2 linked regions of the Neodiprion lecontei genome follow. The protein of the gene in region 2 purifies or fractionates together with the protein of the main gene of each other region. This does not show direct contact. Links are inferred from orthologs where the notes say so. Each region holds a gene or a part of one and is shown on either strand. Other genes may lie near its edges.

Evidence for each region.
Region 1: the proteins of paired amphipathic helix protein Sin3b (region 2) and lysine-specific demethylase lid purify together in Drosophila melanogaster (affinity purification with western blotting; 3 studies listed by BioGRID, with this or other methods). This does not show direct contact. The link is inferred for Neodiprion lecontei from reciprocal best matches to the Drosophila melanogaster genes Sin3A and Kdm5.

Annotation. Positions count from the first base shown.
Region 1 is NC_060264.1:35,600,994-35,611,446, reverse strand, and holds the start of lysine-specific demethylase lid, read left to right. Parts: upstream 1-4,554; 5' UTR 4,555-4,924; coding exon 4,925-5,149; intron 5,150-6,965; coding exon 6,966-7,182; intron 7,183-7,263; coding exon 7,264-7,424; intron 7,425-7,682; coding exon 7,683-8,036; intron 8,037-8,164; coding exon 8,165-8,443; intron 8,444-8,515; coding exon 8,516-9,008; intron 9,009-9,998; coding exon 9,999-10,126; intron 10,127-10,205; coding exon 10,206-10,400; intron 10,401-10,453. Other genes in the region: cytochrome b-c1 complex subunit 8, read right to left, coding at 3,282-3,376, 3,470-3,623. UniProt on the Drosophila melanogaster protein: Histone demethylase that specifically demethylates 'Lys-4' of histone H3, thereby playing a central role in histone code. Does not demethylate histone H3 'Lys-9', H3 'Lys-27', H3 'Lys-36', H3 'Lys-79' or H4 'Lys-20'.
Region 2 is NC_060263.1:14,435,902-14,446,231, forward strand, and holds the start of paired amphipathic helix protein Sin3b, read right to left. Parts: upstream 5,018-10,330; 5' UTR 4,230-5,017; intron 2,657-4,229; coding exon of another isoform or gene 2,575-2,656; exon of another isoform or gene 2,560-2,574; intron 1,517-2,559; exon of another isoform or gene 1,272-1,516; intron 994-1,271; exon of another isoform or gene 737-993; intron 468-736; 5' UTR 169-467; intron 1-168. Other genes in the region: protein seele, read left to right, coding at 2,575-2,656, 5,018-5,091, 6,066-6,162, 6,311-6,426, 6,698-6,904, 7,003-7,176; probable chitinase 2, read left to right, coding at 8,962-9,055.

The sequences.
Region 1 (10,453 bases), on a different chromosome or scaffold from region 2:
AAGGCGACTTTAACCACATTTGAAATTCCCAATCCGTAATGGACGCGCTTATCCCACACACGAAACACGTGTGTACACATACGTATATGTATACAGTTGACACAAATACAGAAGGTACGACGCGTGTACGCATGGCACGGTTCGACTTACGTGCATACGTATACCTATGCATATATACATATATATATACATATATTGTATAGTCGAGAAACTTTCATCTGCTCCCGGAATACACGTACGCATTCATAACTCGTGTATAATAATATAATATGCCTATGCTCGTTTTGAAATATACCTACTAACGTTATGGATCTTCATCGTTGTACCGCAAAGTGCGGTGCGAAATTGATTGACAATTTGAAATTGATGGGATACGGTAGATAAGAAAGTTCGACATTCGGATGCCGAGTTAGATATCGGTCGTCGGACCTCGTCAAGGCCAAGGTCGAAAATCTAATGGCTGGTTGTGAATGTGGAATATGGTGTGTAGCGTCCGACGATCGTGCAGACGCTGGAAGTTAGGCGCAGGTGTTTTCAAGCGATTTTCGATACCGCGAAGTAAAATAGATCTACACACCGTGTACGGCATGGCGAAAATCGGTGCTCGAATCCTGCAGCGCGGTGTCGGTGTGCATACATGTGGCAAAGTAAGACCGTTACGAAACGCATCGGAAATGTCTTCGAGGCGTAGGTATAGGTACCGCGTTGTTCTTCCGTACATTAACATTACCCTACGTTTATGGGAGGTTGCGCGACGACGACGTGCTTCACAAAGCTATTCGTGCCTTAGGCTGACACACCCTGTATCGGAATTGATGAAAAAATTTCCAAGGTGTGCATATCAAGCTCGCATGGCGCGTGCAAAAATTACCGGAATAATGCGTGTGTTTGTCTAACCGCATATTACCCTAATCGGGAAAGATAAGTCGCGATACTTTTCAATTCTTGATAGGCAAGAAATTAGCACGAACTTATCAGCATTTTGACAAATTTGACTGAGCTGTTCGTCAAGTTTTAATTAATCATCACAACCGAACGGGATCGACCAAAATTGTAAGGATCGAGATGAAATATTACGTCCAATGTAGGTACAGACGCTTAAATAATTCAGTACACCGTGTGCGGCTAGTTCCTGGAACTGATTTCTAATCACCTTGGTTTTCTTGTTAGTTACGCCGGTATGATTTTTGTTTTTCCTTTCGATCCTCTTTCCCCTTATCGTCACAACCCAACGCGATATTTACCTCGGGCTACAGCATAAGCTGGGTACGGGATTGAGCTCGGCTTCAACCGGCAATTCGGCCGTATCTTAATACACACCAATCTTAACACACACCAAGAACTGAAACCCTAATTGGATTTTCAAGAGGACAATAACCAGGAAAAACAGACAGCTTGCGAAATAAGCCGCATAATGGGTGAAGTGGAATCGACGCTTGGAGCTCCGTTCAAGTTGTGTTATTCGTACCCCATGTATATACTGATACAAAATTACGGTAGTCGGATGTTAAGACTAGCCAAAGAGTGTCCATATCTCTGCTGCTGCGTGTATGGGCGTATGTGCGTGCGTGTATGTGGGTGTATCGGTGTAGTGGAATATCATCGATAAATACCTTGTGACAGCCGAGTTTTGGTAGAACGCGGGTTTGGCTCGACGAAACTTATAATATCCAATATGACGGTGGTTATAATCGTAATCGCGTGGCACAAGACCAATCGCCGCCGTTTATTTTCACTGTAAACTTATCAACTTACAGGTATAGCTGCAGGTACCAGAACGATAAAAGTTTGAAAACTATCAACTCCGTCAACAAGTGTCAGTCCCGACGTCACACTCTACTCACCTATATACAATACGGCACAGAGCAACGGAGTTTTGGGCGGACCTCGGTCCCACTCATTGTCGACTGGAAATACCTGTGCCGTACCTCTATACCTGACGAAGCCCCAGGTAAACTTGGGCGGGTGTCCCCCTTCTTCACCCCCTTCGACCCACGGACAGGTAGCAAATGAAACGAACCACCTCATTGGTCGAGGTGGAACGGTACCGAGCTTTCCATTCGTCGAGACCTGCGACGGAGCTCGGTACGATCGGTTAGAAGAGGTCTTAGGTTTACCTGGGCCACCGATAGCGGATTCTCGGCTTGCCCTGTAGCGCTCACAAAGGCGGCAAAACAATAAACGACAGTCGTGGGTATTTGCTTGCTCTGGCCATTGAATTCAAGCCAAATTTTACCTGCTCGTATTTCTCGGAACATGGAAGGCATAAACTTCTTTTATTACGGCAAGAACATACTACAGTTAAAGTCCAAACTGTTTTCTTCGCGGAAGGTATTTAAATGGAGTCGGTGAAAGAATTTGGAAGCTCCAACTTTGAAAACTGTACCCGAGATTCTTTCGGAATAGGATGAAGTCAAGATAAAGTAGTAACGTTACTGTAACGGTGCATGTTGACGAAAAATCGGTACTTCGCATTTATAGGAAAGTCCGAGATTTGGTAAACCATTGTAAACAAAATATACTTCAATTTTGAAAAGCCAACTCCTTGAGAGTAATTTTTCAATCGCTTAACTTCAGTCTGATTCTTTCGGAGGATACAGTCAAGGCTGTTGCATTACAATTTTCGCATCCATGAATCGTTATTAGCTAACGATAATCCAGTGTCGATGGGAGAAAATTCGCTATTTTAAAAACGTCCTCTAAAGCCGAAGGATGTTTTTCAGACAATTTGAAAGTCAAAGCCGAAAAAACGTAGTCCTGATATTTTTTTTTTTACCATATTTCAATTTTGCTGTGGCCATATTACAAGTTTTTACGAAATCGATTGAATTCGGTCAACTACAGCTTGACTGTATTTCTAATTTCCAGAATTGGCTTTTCGAATTATGCAGAAGTGATTTCTGAACAAATTTTGGCAATGAATGGCCCACAACAGCTGCTTTAAGAATTGAAAACAAAATGAGGAGGATGGTTACGAAGAAATTCAGGTTGTCAATTTTTCCGACGCCGTTTGAACGTTCGATAGCAGGATTTCGTTGGTAAATTATAAATCTTTCAACTCGTTAAGCAGAGTACGTATTATCTGAAAATTAAATTTCAAACGGTACTCTTAACGAACACTTTCTCGTTAAATTGACAGGAAACTTTATTCGTGTAGTATAACTTTAGACATTCGATACACGCAATATATTCACGGATACTCTGTACAGATAGATATATGCATGTGTGTTGTTTGACTTTCCAACCATATTCTATAAATAAACTATGCAAATACTAATTATTTATACGTCATTTTCATAATCCTTGGGGTTCTTCCTTTGAAGGCGAGCGTGTTCCTTTTCTGCCCAGTCGTAGACCAAGTAGGCTATTAAAAAGGCTTTAACAAGAAAATTTTTCATCTTAGACATTACAGACACGACTGGTTTGAATCTAATCACACAGTCTCGTACGACTTTGTTGAGATACTTACGTGGGCCCATTGTAAACAAGTTCTCCTTTATCCTACGAAATACATTCGGTACACCATGAGATATCGCACCTGCGAATGCCCGCTGCTCGTACGGACTAAGTCGGTAATAAATAATTCCTCGCAGCTTGTACAGGTTTCCAAATACCTTTCCCATCCTGCCAACTGTCTGTGGAAAATATCTGATTTACGTTAAGCTGTTATTTTGTGTGGCGAGTGGTGTGTATACGACAGTTACCACACGAGCGAGGGGGGGGGGGGGTGAAAAGGTGTGTGGAATTGGTGTAGAAAGAAGGTGCCGAACACACTTTTTTGCAAAATGAATCATTCCGCTGGACATTCTTATCGGTCTGATGGCTATGAATATTCTAATGACAACAGAGAAATTGCAACAGAAGACGTAAAGCATCGACTGACTGGCAAATAACGTAATTCAGTACGTAGCCCTCTCTGTGACCAACCTAACAGTCACGTCCGAATTACGTAAGAAGAAATACGGTAAAAACGGCAAACGGAATACCGCGGAGAAACTCATCGAGTATTAAGTTAGATAACTCTATCGTTTTTCGAATAAATTATGTAATTATTTGGTAAAGACACCTACCCCTTGCGCAGAGAGCACACGTCGAGTCTAATGGAAAGAAGATACCGACTTCAGACGGGTAGACAAAGTGCACCAACACGAAGAAACGAAACTGAGGAGCGAGTGGCCAGCAGTTCTGCCAACGTTGACTCACTCGGGATACTATTTTTTTCACGGATCTTTCGCAACTGACCAATGAAGGATCGCTGAGCCAGTTTGCTGCCTAACCAACATCGACGATTCAAACGATCAATCTGTTTTCATCCGTAGAATTGACGACGCCTCGTATGCTCCGTAGAGTCTTGAGAGATGAACGCAATAAAACGCAGGTATAACCTCGACGGCAGTTTCTCCGGTGTGGCCGAAAGCTCAGTCAATGGCGTGAAGGTATCAGCCATGTTGGCGGTGAGGATTGAGGAAGCGCCGATGGAAGAAACACGGGAGAAAAACGCATTCGGTTGTCGCATGCGCGCAGAGGTTGGTTCTCGAGCAGCGTGATAGTGGAACAAGTACTGAATGCATACGTACGTGCCAGACGGACTGGTGTGAGTACCGAGCAGCTCTGCCTATTAGAATCGTTCTATAGTTCCTACATAGAACCCGAGGAGTTGTGTGCGGACGGACGGATTGTCACATCGGTAACGGTCATATATACGACATCCGTAGCCATGGCTGCGCTAAAAACATTGACGAACAAGTTTTTCCAATTAATACCTGAGTAGTACCGAGTTTCCTAATCGATCCCCACACTATTGTCACGTGCCACGGTGTATTGGTGATTCCCGAGTGAAATCCACGGGGGAATTTAACATACCAAAACTTTGCCTATATGTCCTCGTTGGTGGTGTGCATTCGTTGTGTGACGAAATTACGTGATGGTCTCTAAGGTGGATGTAAATATCGGGTGCGAGGCTCGGTTTGGTACTTATCACGCTAAAGATATGAGTGAAAAAGGTGACAAGGATTTTGAGTTCGCTATACCACCAGAGGCCCCAGTCTTTGAGCCAACAGCGGAGGAATTCCTCGACCCCCTTGGCTACATCTCCAAGATTCGTCCGATTGCCGAAAAATCGGGAATTTGCAAAATAAAACCACCGCCAGTGAGTAATTACAACGATGCGACAGCCCTCCCCGCCTCACCCCTCATCTAGGAGGCCTTTCGCCCTTTATCGTCCCCCCCCTTTCCCTATGCCGTAGAGATGTTAAAATCCAGCGTCGACGAACCGTATGTGTTTGGGGGCTTTGAGAAAGGAAAGCGAAAAGTGATGTAGATGCGATAAAAATGTGTAACAAAAAAAAAATACTATGTACACACACGCGCTCACACCCTCTTTGGATGGATACCTTATTGTTCGGGATGAAAAAAATCTCCCACAATCACCCGTATCCACATGGGCTAGAGTTGTACGATTGAATACGCGATGAAAGGAACAAATGCGGAGTAAATAAATAAATAACATTGGCAGAAACGGGATTCTGTTTGTCGATTTGCTTTCTCATTGCTCTGACGATGCTAACATTGGACGTTAATTTTGGGAAATCGCGTAAACAAATGACATCTAGGTATATTAAATGCTGCGTCTTCTCGACTGTTCCTGTGACTGACATAACGTTTCGTCATTATCTCACGTCCTCTCACAAACGTTAATGTCGCACTTTTACAGTTGTAAACTGTCATTAGAAATATTCTTCCGGAAGAATAATTAATTATTGTTGTATTTGGTGTCGTTTTTCTTTACTGACCGATTTTCTTTCTTTCTTTCTTTTTTTTTTCTTCTCTTTTTGTTTTTCGAACACCTATGCTACCTCTTTCTTTCTACTCGGGCGAAACTACCACCGATGTTAATCTCACCAGCGTGTTACATCCACAAACTATAGCTATATCGATGCACATAATGGTCGTTCGTCATTTTACGATTAGCAAATTACTAGATGAATAAATTTTTATCGCAGCCGCGATACGCTTATCATCGAGAAAAATTTGAAATGGTGTAAACCGAGAAAATCGGAAACAACAAATAAAAACAAGAAACGTCAATCCAACGACGATGTTTATACGCATACATTATTACCTGTAACGATAAAATCGATCGAAGTTGTTATACCTGATACAGCCATTATTTTTCTTGCATTAAATGTCAAATGAGTTGCAAACCTCGGAAAATAAATCGCCGTGAGAGCATTCGGTCAATACGTAATTCCGTTACTCAATTTACAAGCGTCTGACGATTGTCGAATCCGTCGAAAGAAAATGAAAGATGATGTCCATTTTGTTTTATGTAGGTATAACGGACATTGCATATCCGTGCGCGTACTGTAAAGAAAAGAAAGGTGAAAAGTAATCAACGGCAAACGAAGAGCTGTCGTTGTTTATATTGCGAATGCCCCTGTTAATTGTGTCTTATTTCTTCTCTAAACAAGAAATTATACGTTACGCTTGCATTACCATTTTATCAATCCAAGAGACAAATCCTACCTCACGTCTGCTATATCCAATAATTTAGTAAAGTAGGAGTTTGCGAACCGAACCGAAAACTAAGGTCGGCTTCAACTGTCGAGATTTGAAATTAGAACAAAACAGTAATCCAAATGCATCCGTGTTTTATTGCCATTGCTAAGGGCAAAGGGCGAGCGTCAGAGGGGCGGAAGGGGGGAGGACGCTTACCGTTATAGATTCGGCGTATAATTTGTATGACGAAACATGCGATTGCATAGTTTAAAAATAAACGGGAAAAACTATAATAGAATTTTCACCATTTATTATGTAATTGTCAACAGTCGAACCACTATGTACAATAAATTTTTCCAAAACTGTAAAATGTTTAATTCCAATTTACAAACTAAAGAAAATAAGTAAATAAGTAGAACCAAGTTTCCAGTTTGCTCATTAAATTCAATATTTTTTTTTTTCCACAGAATTGGCAACCACCTTTTGCCGTTGACGTTGACAAATTCAAATTTGTACCAAGAATTCAGAGGTTAAACGAACTTGAAGCAAAGACCAGAATAAAGCTGAATTTTTTAGATCAAATAGCCAAATTTTGGGAGCTTCAAGGATCATCGTTGAAAATTCCACTGGTTGAACGTAAAGCTTTAGACTTGTACTCCTTACACAGAATTGTCACCGAGGAAGGTAAAGGATTGTTTTTATCGTCCTTTCCCAGTTACCTGTGATTTAACGATAATACTAATACTTTGTAATATTGTTTCATAGGTGGCATTGAAACAGTTACTAAAGAAAGAAGGTGGGCAAAGATTGCAAACAGGATAGGATATCCATCCGGTCGAAGCGTTGGAAGTATTTTAAAAAACCACTATGAAAGAATTTTGTATCCCTTTGATGTTTTCAAGCAAGGGAAAACCTTGACTGACATTGTAAGTATCTTCAGCTTAAATTTGCAACTGACTTATCAATGTAGTGTTTATTCATTTAATCAGTAATAAATCATTTGTACTGTCTCCAAAAGAAAACAGAAAAAAAAAAACGCGTTGGCCTCCAGACATTTTATGCAGAGCTGATGGTACAATTTTTGTTTATTTTCAACTATGTGAAGTTCCTGAATTGGACTCTATTAATCAAAAACAAACATTAAATGGTCCAAAGCTTACCCTAGTATTGTGATTTTTTTTTAGAAAATTGAGCCAGAGGGTGACGTGAATGAAAAAAAGGACAGGGATTATAAGCCTCATGGAATAATATCGAGACAGCAAATAAAACCACCAAATGAAAAATTTTCACGGCGTTCCAAGCGATTTGCTGGTACGGATGAAAAACCAGAATTAGTCACAGACAGCACATCACCTATTAAGCAAGAAGATTGCAAAGATGAGTGCGACTCTGACAATGAAAAGGATAAAGATAACAGCAAAGAGCTTAAAAAATTGCAGTTTTACGGACCTGGTCCGAAAATGGCCGGTTTTAATACCAAAGATGTAAAAAAGCCTAGCAAAACCAGAGGCGTCAAATTACACTATGATTTTGACCCGGTAAGTGAATTCAATTTTTCACGTGTTGAGAAATAAATAATTGTTTGTTTATCGGTGTATTACAGCTTACTAAAGATCTCCTATATTTTTGCACATTCTTATTCCTTTGTCCTTTTTTTTTTTCACAGCTTGCCAAATACATTTGCCACAACTGTGGTAGAGGCGATACAGAGGAGAGCATGCTGTTGTGCGACGGATGCGACGACAGCTATCACACCTTCTGCCTTATGCCACCATTAACCGAAATACCAAAGGGTGATTGGCGATGTCCAAAATGCGTCGCCGAAGAAGTCTCAAAGCCTATGGAAGCCTTTGGATTTGAACAAGCTCAGCGTGAATATACGCTGCAACAATTTGGCGAAATGGCCGATCAGTTCAAAAGCGATTACTTCAACATGCCTGTACACGTAAGCATCATATTTTCATTCAATTTCAAATTACTCTCTCGAGTTACGTCTTTAAACGGTAATTTTTTTCAGATGGTACCGACTCCTTTGGTCGAAAAGGAATTCTGGCGGATTGTTTCTTCGATAGATGAAGATGTGACCGTCGAGTATGGGGCTGATTTGCACACAATGGATCATGGCTCCGGTTTCCCGACGAAGACCAGTGTCAATTTATTCACGTGCGATCAGGAGTACGCCGAATCTTCGTGGAATTTGAATAATTTACCCGTTCTACATGGAAGCGTGCTGGGACACATCAATGCAGACATTAGCGGGATGAAAGTTCCCTGGATGTACGTTGGCATGTGCTTTGCCACCTTTTGTTGGCACAACGAAGATCATTGGAGTTATTCCATAAACTATCTACACTGGGGAGAGCCCAAGACTTGGTACGGAGTTCCTGGATCTCAGGCGGAAAGATTTGAACATTCCATGAAATCTGCTGCCCCGGAATTATTCCACAGCCAACCGGACCTTCTCCACCAACTCGTCACTATTATGAACCCTAACATACTGATGAATGAAGGTGAATATTACAGGACAATTATAAACGCCCATTGAATATGGTATAAGAAAATTATCACGTTTTAACTGATCCTGCTGATTCGACATTTCGTTGTCAATTTACTCTCTTTCCTACCAGTTTTACACTTATAGATGGCAAGTTCAACAATTCACTGCATTCGGGAAAAAATTCAATTTGTCCATATCACATCTACTTGTGACAATTCTTAAAGTATTGAAAAATTCGCTTCAGTTTCACTCAGGGCACCAGTGCTATCTTTGAATGCTCCCATGACACAGGCTCCAGAGTTTTTGTCCAATATATTCGTCAGGCTGCCATATTCACTTATTGTTCGACATCTCAACGTAACATTTTTACTGTTCGATTAAGTTCCTTTGGTTCTTTCAACTTCATATTGGTCTTTGCTTTAATTTACTTCAGAAAATCGTCGATGGCTGTACTGTCCTGGACCTGGTTGCTCGCCGAGATGCCAGCATACAAATAATCCAACCCCCATGTACATAGGTATCCGATTTCCTAACAACTTCCCTCTTCACGCCATCCCCCATCCTATTTACATCACCTGCTTATTACCTTATTATCTGCTATTTTTGTGAGCAGAAAATAAAAGTTAGTTTTTTATATTAAAAACTGGGCTAATCGAACGGATATTGACGAGTTATTTTATGGCATGAATTGACATCGAATCGAATATGTTGTACATCGACTCCATGAATTTATTTAAAATGCCAACAGTTATGGGTGATAATAGTCAGAAAAGCAGCGATCAGTATAACGTTTGATAATTGTTGGAAAAAAAAAAAAAAAAAAAACTTGTTTATAGTAGACCAAATTTTACAAAAGTAATTTACAGATCGCTCAGTTTTTACTATTGATTTGTGCTAACTGAAATTTCACCAAATGGATGGATCTCATTTCATTCAATATTGACGTTGAAATCGAATGGACGCAAACTTTTCTTTAACCACTGTTACTGTCTATGTTGTCCAGGAGTTCCAGTATTCAGAACGGATCAGCATGCAGGTGAATTTGTTGTGACGTTTCCAAGAGCCTATCACGCCGGCTTCAACCAAGGGTACAACTTTGCAGAGGCTGTCAATTTTGCTCCAGCTGATTGGGTAACACATATAAGGATTGAGAATCGTCGCTCGTTTATTATGACGTGATTAGACGCCTTGTGATTTCTTTTTGTTACAGTTGAAAATGGGACGGGAATGTATTTCACATTACTCTAACTTGAGACGCTTCTGCGTTTTCTCACATGACGAACTTGTCTGCAAAATGTCTCTGGACCCAGACTCCTTGGACATCGGTATAGCCACAGCAACATATCACGACATGCTTCAGATGGTCGACGATGAAAAAAAATTGCGAAAAAATCTTTTGGAATGGGTGAGTCTTATCCCAGTTTTTATTTTTCATAATCCTTATCATTTTACTTCATT
Region 2 (10,330 bases):
TGAGCGAGGAGGGGCATTCAGCTAAACTCAATCCGTGAGCTACTTCTCAAGTGTAAAATAGAAAAAAAAAACTTTTCCCGAAAAGTACACGAAGGATACTTATACATATAGCTATGTATTTGTTTTGTTCAGACAGGTATCGAAGCTAGGGTTCGTGCGATATCTTACGATACAACAGCAACCTTGCTCTCTCTCGTCTCCATATGGACAGCCACATACGGTCGACATTCGGATAAGCGCCAATGACCGAACTGGGCGAGAGGGACGAAAACGGACGAAGCATCATCGTCAGGTTGGGGGTGCATCACGGTAGTAGTTCTCTCTAGCTGTCTGTCCCTCGTCCGAGTAAGCAAGCCCGACGCCGCCATCCATCGCTCGCTCTCAACCAGGCTTGTTGTGTCACCTAGTCGACGCTGACGCCCGTCGCCACACCTCGAGCACGCCCTTTCGATTTTTACGTACATTTCCTGCAGCGGTCACACTATCGTCACCAGGGATTCCGTTGTTTCACCGGATATTTTGGTTATTCTCTTTTATTTCTTCGTTATTCTATCATTTCGAGTACGGATGACAAGGGAGTGGGGAAAGGGAGAGAGAAAGAGGGGGAGGGAGAGGGGGGGAGGGGGAGAGAGAGAGAGTGGAGAGGGGGAGGCCCGTCCGCGCGTGGTAGTTATCTGCCGCATATATGCATGTAGCCCGAGGTGTGTAAAAGCTGTATCATCGTCAGTTATTAGATATTGAGGTGGGGATGGAATACCAGGTGGGGGAGTTCGGTTCCGACGACTACTATTTTGCTGCTTTCCATCTGTGTAACGTATCAACAAGCCGGGGAAGGTGGAAAGAACAAGGAGAAATAAAAAAAAAAAAAACGAAAGAAGACGAAGGAGAAGAAGCCCCGAAGTCGGTCTTATTTTGGCCGCTAACGAAAAAATGTGACAACGCAGCCACGTCGTCCGTCGTAGCGCGAGTCCAGTCAGAGGCAGAGACGCAGAGGTGAGCCTTCGACCGTGCGCGCGCGGCTCTCCCGATAATCAGAAATACAGCGTTGCCGCGAGCCCGCGTTCGTCGCATATACGTATGTTTCTATTGCTGCTCGGGAGCGAAATATCCCCACCGCTGATCCTTTAGCCCCTCGCCGTTGCCAGGGCCGTACCCAGCGGCGAAACATACGCGTGGCGTCGACATTTGTCATTTCGTTTTATTTCTTTGCGAATAAACTTGTACATGTCAAAATAAAAATGCCAGAAATTTTAACTCGTCTTACGTTCCAGAAGATGCGGGGAATAGCTGAAAGGATGGTCTCCCGATTTTTCGTGGATAAAAGAAAATATACGCTACTGGTCGAAAGATATACGTAAGGCTGTACCGTATTGGCCCGGGTTTGAGAGAGGAGTCAACGGATTGGCGGACCAAGTCCACGCACGCGAGATGAGGGACTTTTGCGTTCGACAATGACAGATTTTTACCCCCCGAGAAGATGTGTCACTAACTTTGACACTGGGTAACGTTTATCTTGGTATTACATATTCGTACTCGTATTGCAAGCGACTTTAAAAATCAGTTTCATAGGGATACCCACAAATTGGACGAAGTGAAATTTTCTAATTGAATTCAATAGATTCTAAAAATTCAAAAGATGTACAAAAGAGTATAAGCTGTGCGTGGTTGCGTTCCATCAATTCCCTGTATCGTAGTTTTGTATGGTATTCCATTCTTTTTTTAGAATTACCTTTGAAAAGCTTTTGCATTGAAGCTAGCAAATGACAGAGAAAGGTATTAATAGTGCGATTATTCGATGGGTCCGCTTTGTCAGGAGTCTTCCTGTATCGCAAACTCCAAAATCGGCGAAAATCTTTGAACTGACGGACGTTAATATATGACTAATCAAACGCCGTAACGGACCACAATCAATTTGCCATTATTTCGTGAATAAATTGATGGCATCGCCGTATCGATATTCCCAGTTACACGTGGATGTGCCGTTTATGTATGGTAATTCGTCACAATTAGGCTGTAATTGATGTTCGTTTTACTAAAAGATCTGATTCACATGAAAGTATATGCATTATACTTATAGATATATGACAACGTTTCTTCGTTTGTTCAATTACAAATTTACAGATTCCAAATACTCTCAACAATAAGTAGTAAATGCCTGAATAAATGGGACAGACGTCAAAAGTTCGGTACGAAATTTCGTTAAAGAAAATACTCGCAACGTCGAAGAGGCCGTGGTTCCCGCGCTTTGCACCGCGACACGACGCGGGAGTTGGTGAGGGACAGGGGAACGGAGAGAAATTTTTTTGTATCGACGGCCCTGAGGAGCCAGTCTTTTTAGTGGACAGAGAGCCGTTCTAAGGCACACGCCATGAGAATATGACAAAAGTAGTTCCTCCCCCACGCAACATACTCTCGTTCCATAATATGAGGTCCTGCATCGAGTAGTACGTACACACATAGCCAACGATCAATCTTCTATCCTTCGTCGACTCAAAGCTTTGGATTTTCCACCGCGAATTATTGTGGCAGTGTGCGCACGCGCGTTTATGTGTCCGAAGCTTATTCAGGCAACCGATGAACTACCTACTTGGCCTGTCAAATCACGCGTACCTGTGCAACAGCAACAGCAGCAGCAGCGGCGGCGGCTTTCTTCGTAGTCAGTGTTGTGCAAATTCTCAATAAATATTCGTTGAATTTGATGTTGGGAAATTTCTCTTTCTGACATTCGTATCGTTGGTATTTTAACGCGGTACTAAATTTCGTGAATTATGCATTGGAATATAATAGCGGTTGGATATACGGAAGCGTGCGCATGTATATTTTTCCCGTTGTTTCATGGTGATTCTTCGCATTTTGCGCGCAAACCCGACGGCGACGATGTACGCAGCACGAGGCGCGAGGCCGGGAGAGCCATCGTTATTATACGGCGGCGTGTGCACCGGAATCGATATTTGAAGCGTGCGTTCCGTTTCTGCGTGGCTGGTGGTCGCTTCTCTCACATTCGCGCATCCCGCGGTCCTACGCGAAACGCGCGGGCGAGCCAAACGATGGGCTCTCGCTCGAAACAGAGACGAAAAACGTATAACAACAAATACGTTCGGCGATGAATTCCTTCTCTAAACACTCACCCAACCGATTGCATAGGTACGCAATGCGGGTATAACGCGTTTGCAATTACGGATGTTGTTCACAGGAGATTAATCACCGCACATAGTAGTCGCACAACTGGCTGCAAGGATACAACATGATAAAGAAAGTATCTTATATGAAAAAGCCACCGATATCAATATGACAGTCCGTAGGGCGGACGTTTTTCATCGTGATTCAATTATTTTCACGCAAAATTACATCGTACGCGCTTTTCACTCAAATTTAAATGAAAAAACCTACATCCCTAATCGAATTGTGTCGCACTGCATTGCGATGGCTAAAACTCTAGTAGGCGATGTTCTGTTCTGATTTTTCTAAAATAGTTCGTGGTAATCATCTGTCAATCTGTGGCATGCGTACGCGTGTGAGCAACTACTCTCATTCCAGTAAAATTATTCAACGACAGAATGCGACAACAGGTAAATTTCAATTATTAAAGTGGGTGAAAAATCCGACGGATTTATATTATTCTCGGTTGGGTATTACGCGAAACGAACGATTATTTCGAACGAGGCTCCCGCGGATCCGAATGTTTTCTTCTCCATAACGCGGCTGCGGCGATGCCAAGTGTTCCCGCTGCTGCACGCGAAGCTACGAGTCTGTAGGTACTCGGTTAGCTGCTTGAACTATACAAATATGCCTTCTGCTTGCCTCTGGGTTAATCGTAAGAAAGTGGACAAACGATAGACCGTGATTTTCATACATCAACGAAAATATGCAAATTGGTGCAGCGAGGAACGGGAGTAACGATATGCGGACGGAGCACGATCCTCGAGGAAGTTTTTAACTTCTAATTGAAAAATACGTTAGAGTTTTGCCATATGACGTAGTAACGCAACACGGGACATTATGTCACTCCGCCCGGCCCCCCCAAACAATATTTCTGTCACCGCGGTGATACGCGACACGCAGTTTTTTTTTTTAATCCTGGCTCAGATGTGCCGGATTATTTTATACATTCGATGCTCACGATTGCCTAGTTTTATGACTGCGTCAGTGAATTTTCAAGGGTGAAATGCATACGTGGGAGGGGGGAGATTCTCTTTTTTCAAATCAGTGATGACCACAATTTTACATACCTGACAGCCGCTTGAATTTCACTTTAATTTCAATCAGAGCGTATAAAACTGCACTTTCCGTTGACGTCGACACTTGGAAATATTCACCAATAAAATAGCGATTATTATTATTGTTCTTGTGTGATGAATCTTGACACATCTTACGGGTAAACTGGTCCGCTCATGCAGGTGACCGATTGAAGACTGTCGGGTCAGCCGCGAATACGGCCGAACTCAAACGAGCCCGGAGGGGTGACGGGCTTGTCCTTCCGACAACACTTTGACGATTTATCAAACGGATAAGCGGAGGCTGGTCTCGGACCGAGCCAGGATCACATTTTCACTGTTATTTCACCTAATAACCGCTGGAGTTTGACTCGCGTCAGCCGCGTTGCATCTAAATTAGGAATCGACTCTGCGGCGTCACTGACGATCACCCCCATTGCGCGAGCTAATGGACTCGTCCGTACTTGGCAACTGTTTTCCCTCGGCTCGAAGCTGCATTTTCATGCTGCCCGACGCCCGCGGCTCGGCCCGAGCTCGCCTCCGATTGGTCGATCAGTCCGAGCGACGTTTGCGCGCCGATTACGAACTCCGATATCCCCGGCAAACATGCCATAGCTAACCTCTTCTTCCTTTGTAGTCAGCTTTTGTTTCTTAACTAATGATTAATACCGAGGACCAAATGTTTACGATTTCCGTTATTGCCTTATTTTCTCTTCAAATTCATGATAAAATCGCTGGAAACCCCTTTTACTCGTGAATAAAACGTGTGTACGTACGGCCACGCGTGTCGTTCCGGTACGCAGGCCAATTGGATCTGATCAACCGAAGACGAACTGTGCGTGAGCCTCTTTTTCCTTCCTCTCCACAGTGCATATGGGTATGTATGTACCATTGATAGCCGTCACTCGCTTTTTTGTTCTTTTATCAGCGATTTCAAATCACTAAAAAGTTTTATTACCGATTATAAAATCATTTCGACCTATCGGCTTTTATCGACATCGCTGCTCATTCGACATCTACTGATCAATTCCCTTTCTCGCACGTATTAATTAATTACATTTATTATTTCACGATGCCGTCGATTTCTGTAAGTTGTCTCGTCCGGTTGGCACGACGATACAAAGTGAAATGTGACCGACCAGTCGCTACAAAAACACGCGTGCGCGCGGTGTTGGGCAAAATTGTCTTTCAAAAGTCGAACACCACTACGACTCGCATTTAACTGACAAGTGGTAAAATATCGAACGAACATCTTAATCCCGGTAATATCCCCGTAAATTATTACAACCCGACACCCGGTGTAGATGCACACAAAAGCCCAATGTAAAAGTTAAAAGTCTTGATAGTTCATCAATTGACAGAGTAAAATTTGTCGGTTAAAGTTTGACAACTGTAACAACAATGAAACTTTTGTTAGATGTTTCATTTCCTTTCTATTCCCGTCGGTCACCACTCGACCTCTCGACACAGGAAACTATCGTTTTTCATTGGACGGTAGTGGCGGCCGGGCGTTAGTAGTCGACCAATCGGAATTGAGAGCGTGTAGCGAAGCGGTAACGGGCGATGAGATTACACGTGTCGTGCGTTCGCGAGATGATCACGGTAGTTTAAAGCAGGCTTCCTATGCGGATTAGCCGCAGTTTAACGTGCAGGTTCCTCGCCTAAGTTTAGCAGGTGATTTGCGTAGCTCTGACTTCGATAGAGTTTACAGGAAACTGGTATGGTTATAAATATCCACATATACCAGGGTTTATTCAAGGTTAACAGTGAAGGGATCTGACCATCTCGTCTTGTCGCTTTGTGTACTTGTTGATATTGTTTTTAACATCATTATTTACTCTACTGTTGCAGACGATGATGTTCCTGACGATAATATCAGTACTGTGCCTAGGTATCGGAGCTTTTACCCAGAGTCAGCAAATTGACAGCAAACAGCTACAATGTTTAGGTGCGGAAAAAATGAAAGTTTTATTCGAAAGGAATGAAAAAAGTTTTCATTAACCGTTGTGAAAACATTGAACATCAAAGGAGTAGCTAAAAAAATATCAACGTCCGAACAAAAGATCTTGGATCTATTGATAATTATTTGCCTTTAGTTTGCAGAACTACCATGGATGAGCTGGAGGCAGAAATAGCTAAAATCGATCCATCAGTTTCCATTGATGTTGGTAACTACCGACTGGACGCAAATGGAAATGTGAAACAAAAGTCTGTACGTAAACATGTAGCCTCTTACCGTTTCTCCATGTGTCTTGATTTCATAAATTTGATTGATCCGAGATGAGTAGAAGAATTATGATAGCCTGGTATTGATAGAAATATAGCTAATTGGCTCAGCTGTCAACTGTCAGCTACGATAACTGATACCAAATTGATAAGATATACTGATTGTCAATCTGTGATCTGAATTTTCTTTGCTCGATTATATTGCTGATACGCTTTGATTGATCAATATTTTTGTTCAATATATTATTTTTCAATAGATTCCTCTCGCCAGATCTGAAGTGCACATTTCTGACATGCTCGACAGTATATGCGCCAAACTTGACGACTATGTCAGAGCTACGTACAAATCAACCGGTCAACTTACGCTTCTAAGAATAATGGATCCTACCGGAGGAATGAATCCTGACATCAGCAAAGTGGACATTGTTCAAGACGGAGATTTGAACAAAAGCCTCAAATTCTATGTAAGCAGAGCGGAGTTATTCTTTAATTGTGACAAACTATCATTAGCCCAAGTCGTGTTTTACCTTGATTTAAACCTGTTTCCTTATTCCCTCTTCAGTGCGAAGGCATCGTTGATGAGTTTGAAGATGATATAGTCCAGTTGTTCAGCAAGGGAACTAAAGACATCGATGTCAAGGTCTGTACGGATGTGGCAAACTTCTGTTCGGACACTGTATCTGGTGAGGATGAATTCACGGAGGACGATGATTTCACAGAGAGAGATGAATTGTGATGAAAAACGAGAAACGGACGTTGGTGAAGAAAGTTTGTAGCAGTTTTACAAATTTTGTACAATGTTAAACAAATTCGTTCCGCAGCTTCGTTTTCACCCGCGTAATTATATTTAACTCGGTGATTAAAAAAATGTGAAATTGTGAGAAATAGAAATGATTCTCTTCTCACAAAATTACTCACCGTGTATTTAATAAGTTATTTACGAGGTTAGCCACGAATTTCTATTGACTGTCGGCTTGAACTGATATTCGTACATACATTTGCCTGCTGTTACAGCTGTAAATAAATCAACTCCTCATGGCAACGATTGTTGATCAGGTGTAATTACGCGCCAATCTATTGTATATGATTGTATACAGCATCTCGTTGATACCTCAGTACAATATTTCAGTAGGCACTGAAGTTTTGTACGACAAAACGATATATTTAGTTCATGCGAATGAAATTTATCTACTGATTCTTTTTTTTTTTGTAAAAAATATATTCCTATTTTCTCTTTTTGCTGTGCTTTGCGCAATTGTGTTGCGTATCACCGTTATGCCAGCGAATGTATAATTAGAAATTTGTTGCAAGATTGTTGAATCTGATTAGAATCCTATACGGAGATTGTATATGATTCATGTATTTTTCTTGTGGAAAATTAGATGAAAATGTTAATTATACGGTCAATATGACTCGAACGAGCAATTACTATTTCTCGTAATTGCGAGGCAATACAACCGATTCAGTATCGTGTCGCTTCAAGCACTTAAATATTATTCGCAATAAAACAGGTTATCTGAATTTAAATCAAGTCTTTTGTCAGGGATTTTCGTTAGTAATTCCTACGACTGATCTCGGATGCAAGTAACCCTTCCGAATCACACCTGTTGCTCGCAATCAGCCGCTTAACCCAATACGCCTTACCGTAGGCAGCATACATCACTTCTACCATTACGCCTTACCGAAGGCTATCCGACGCGCGTAACCTGTTGAACACTACGGCACGATAATTTGTCAGATCGCGTAAGAGAATTATCTGCATTTTCGTTGGGTAGAGAAGTCAGATTGGATCAGGTCATCGGGTCATCCAGGGCCATTCTAAGTATCGTAAAAATAGACCTGTATCATGAGATAGAATTAAAATTCCATTTGATTCGTCAGCAGAAAATCGGTCGTTGAAAGTTAAGAAAAAAGTAAAAGCAAAAGAGCCGAAACCCGCAAGAGACGAAGCTGGCGCAGTATTCGGACTGACTGGACTGAGCGCTCTTATGAGCCGGTTGAAGAAAACATTTAAAGGACAGAAATATGCTGGGAGTATTCCTTTCTCTCTTTGACGATATTTGTGGCGGGGATCGAGGCGGAAGAGGAGATGAGGCGAAATTATGCTCCTATATCTATAGCTGTTCTACTTCACTGCTCCGTTGTCTCCCACCATGACGCCGATTGAAAAGAGGAGCAGTACTCCCGGTATATCTCTGTCCTTTATATGTAATTGTCAGTGCATCTTATAGGAGCGCTCACAATCAGTCTATCTTTATAAGTCCTATGGGAATTTCGGAGCGTCCCTTCCACTCGTCGCTGAACTACAGTTACCCTCGCTGCTAGTCGGTGCACCGTTTCCATCACCACTAGGTATCTCCCCTTCCAGCTTGCTTGAATCCGTTTCTATCTACATATCCTATACCTTGTTCGCGGCTTCGTACAACCTACTAAACAAATTTTTCTCCACAAGCTCGAGTGAAAGTCGACAGACAGTGCGGAGAGTAGATACGGTGTGAATATACTAACGAGAGTGACGACAATGGGAAATCACCTCGGCTTTGTTACATCGGGAGCTTTTCTAATTATTTTCGCTGCTGCCCTTATTGCCCTACAGATTGTTAACGGTTTACAAGGTAAGTCACAGCTGGCTGTTCAATTTCCTTGACATTTATTCGGAATCGTCAAACTTTTCAATTTCTTTTTCTGCACTCCTTTCTTTCTTCCATCGCCCCCTTCACATCAGTATGACTCCTATGCACACGTACACTTCACTCGCCGGTAGTGATTTCGATGCCCAGGGACCAACGTCGGAAATTTTTGCCTTTTTATCCTTGATTCCTATGTCGAATTTTGTTATACACATATTTAATTGCTTCTTATTTGGCATCTTTTTATTCAACGTATACGGGTTTGGCTTTGCGAATTTGACGAGTGGCACATTCGAAGATCTCTCATCAAAAGAATAATTCTTGTCGCCCCTTTGATTTCCCTCTATAAGTATGAGGCCGCGGGCATGTTACTTTACACCTATGTTTCACGGTTTCGGTTACTGATGTAATAACAACAGAATGAAAAAAACCTGCGGTCCACATCCTTTTTTCATTATTAACACAGGCGTCCTACAGTGGGCCAAAAATAAAATGAAACAATTTAAAATATGAATAAAATCTGAACGCGTCGAATGGTTCTCAATAACGTTTTTTATTCGAAATTAAAAGAATACACCTTTCGTTTCGCGTTTGAAAATCTGAGAAATATTTATTCTTTGCTGAGATACACGCTCTTGAAAAACAGGTTTTGGAGTAGTTGGGAGGATGAAAAAAAAGTATCAGCAAAGAATGTTCAACGAAATTACCTTCTTGTATTGTGATTCGAAGTTTGATTTTAGCATTTTAGCGAATCTTAGATTCTATTCACATGGCATGAAACGTTTATTGTAAATTAGTGTTAAAACGCCCGCTTTGCGGTCAAAATTCTGTTTTCAGAATATTATTAAGACATGGTGGCCACGATGAAGGAGAACCACGAAATTTGTGTGGGGGGGGGGTCAGGGAATCATGGAAATGTTAGCGAAATTTCAAACTTGGTTAGGGAAAAAAAAAAACGACGGGAACGAGAATTAGAAAATTCTCATTTTATTATTGATAAAAAAAAATTGGCGAAATTTTTTGGCATTGTAAACAGTGCCGCGCAGCGTACATAATATGTACGTATACAAGATACACATGTGTATACTAGGACGGCACTTACTACTTATTGAGGGTATTAACGATTTTTTTCCAGGCCGCTCCCTATATCGACTCCAAATAATTTGAAAAGAATGCCCTCATTTTTTCAAATTTTTATCTCAACTATAGACTCTCCCCCCAAGAGCGTGAATTTCCTCATTTAAAACAAATCTGTGCAAT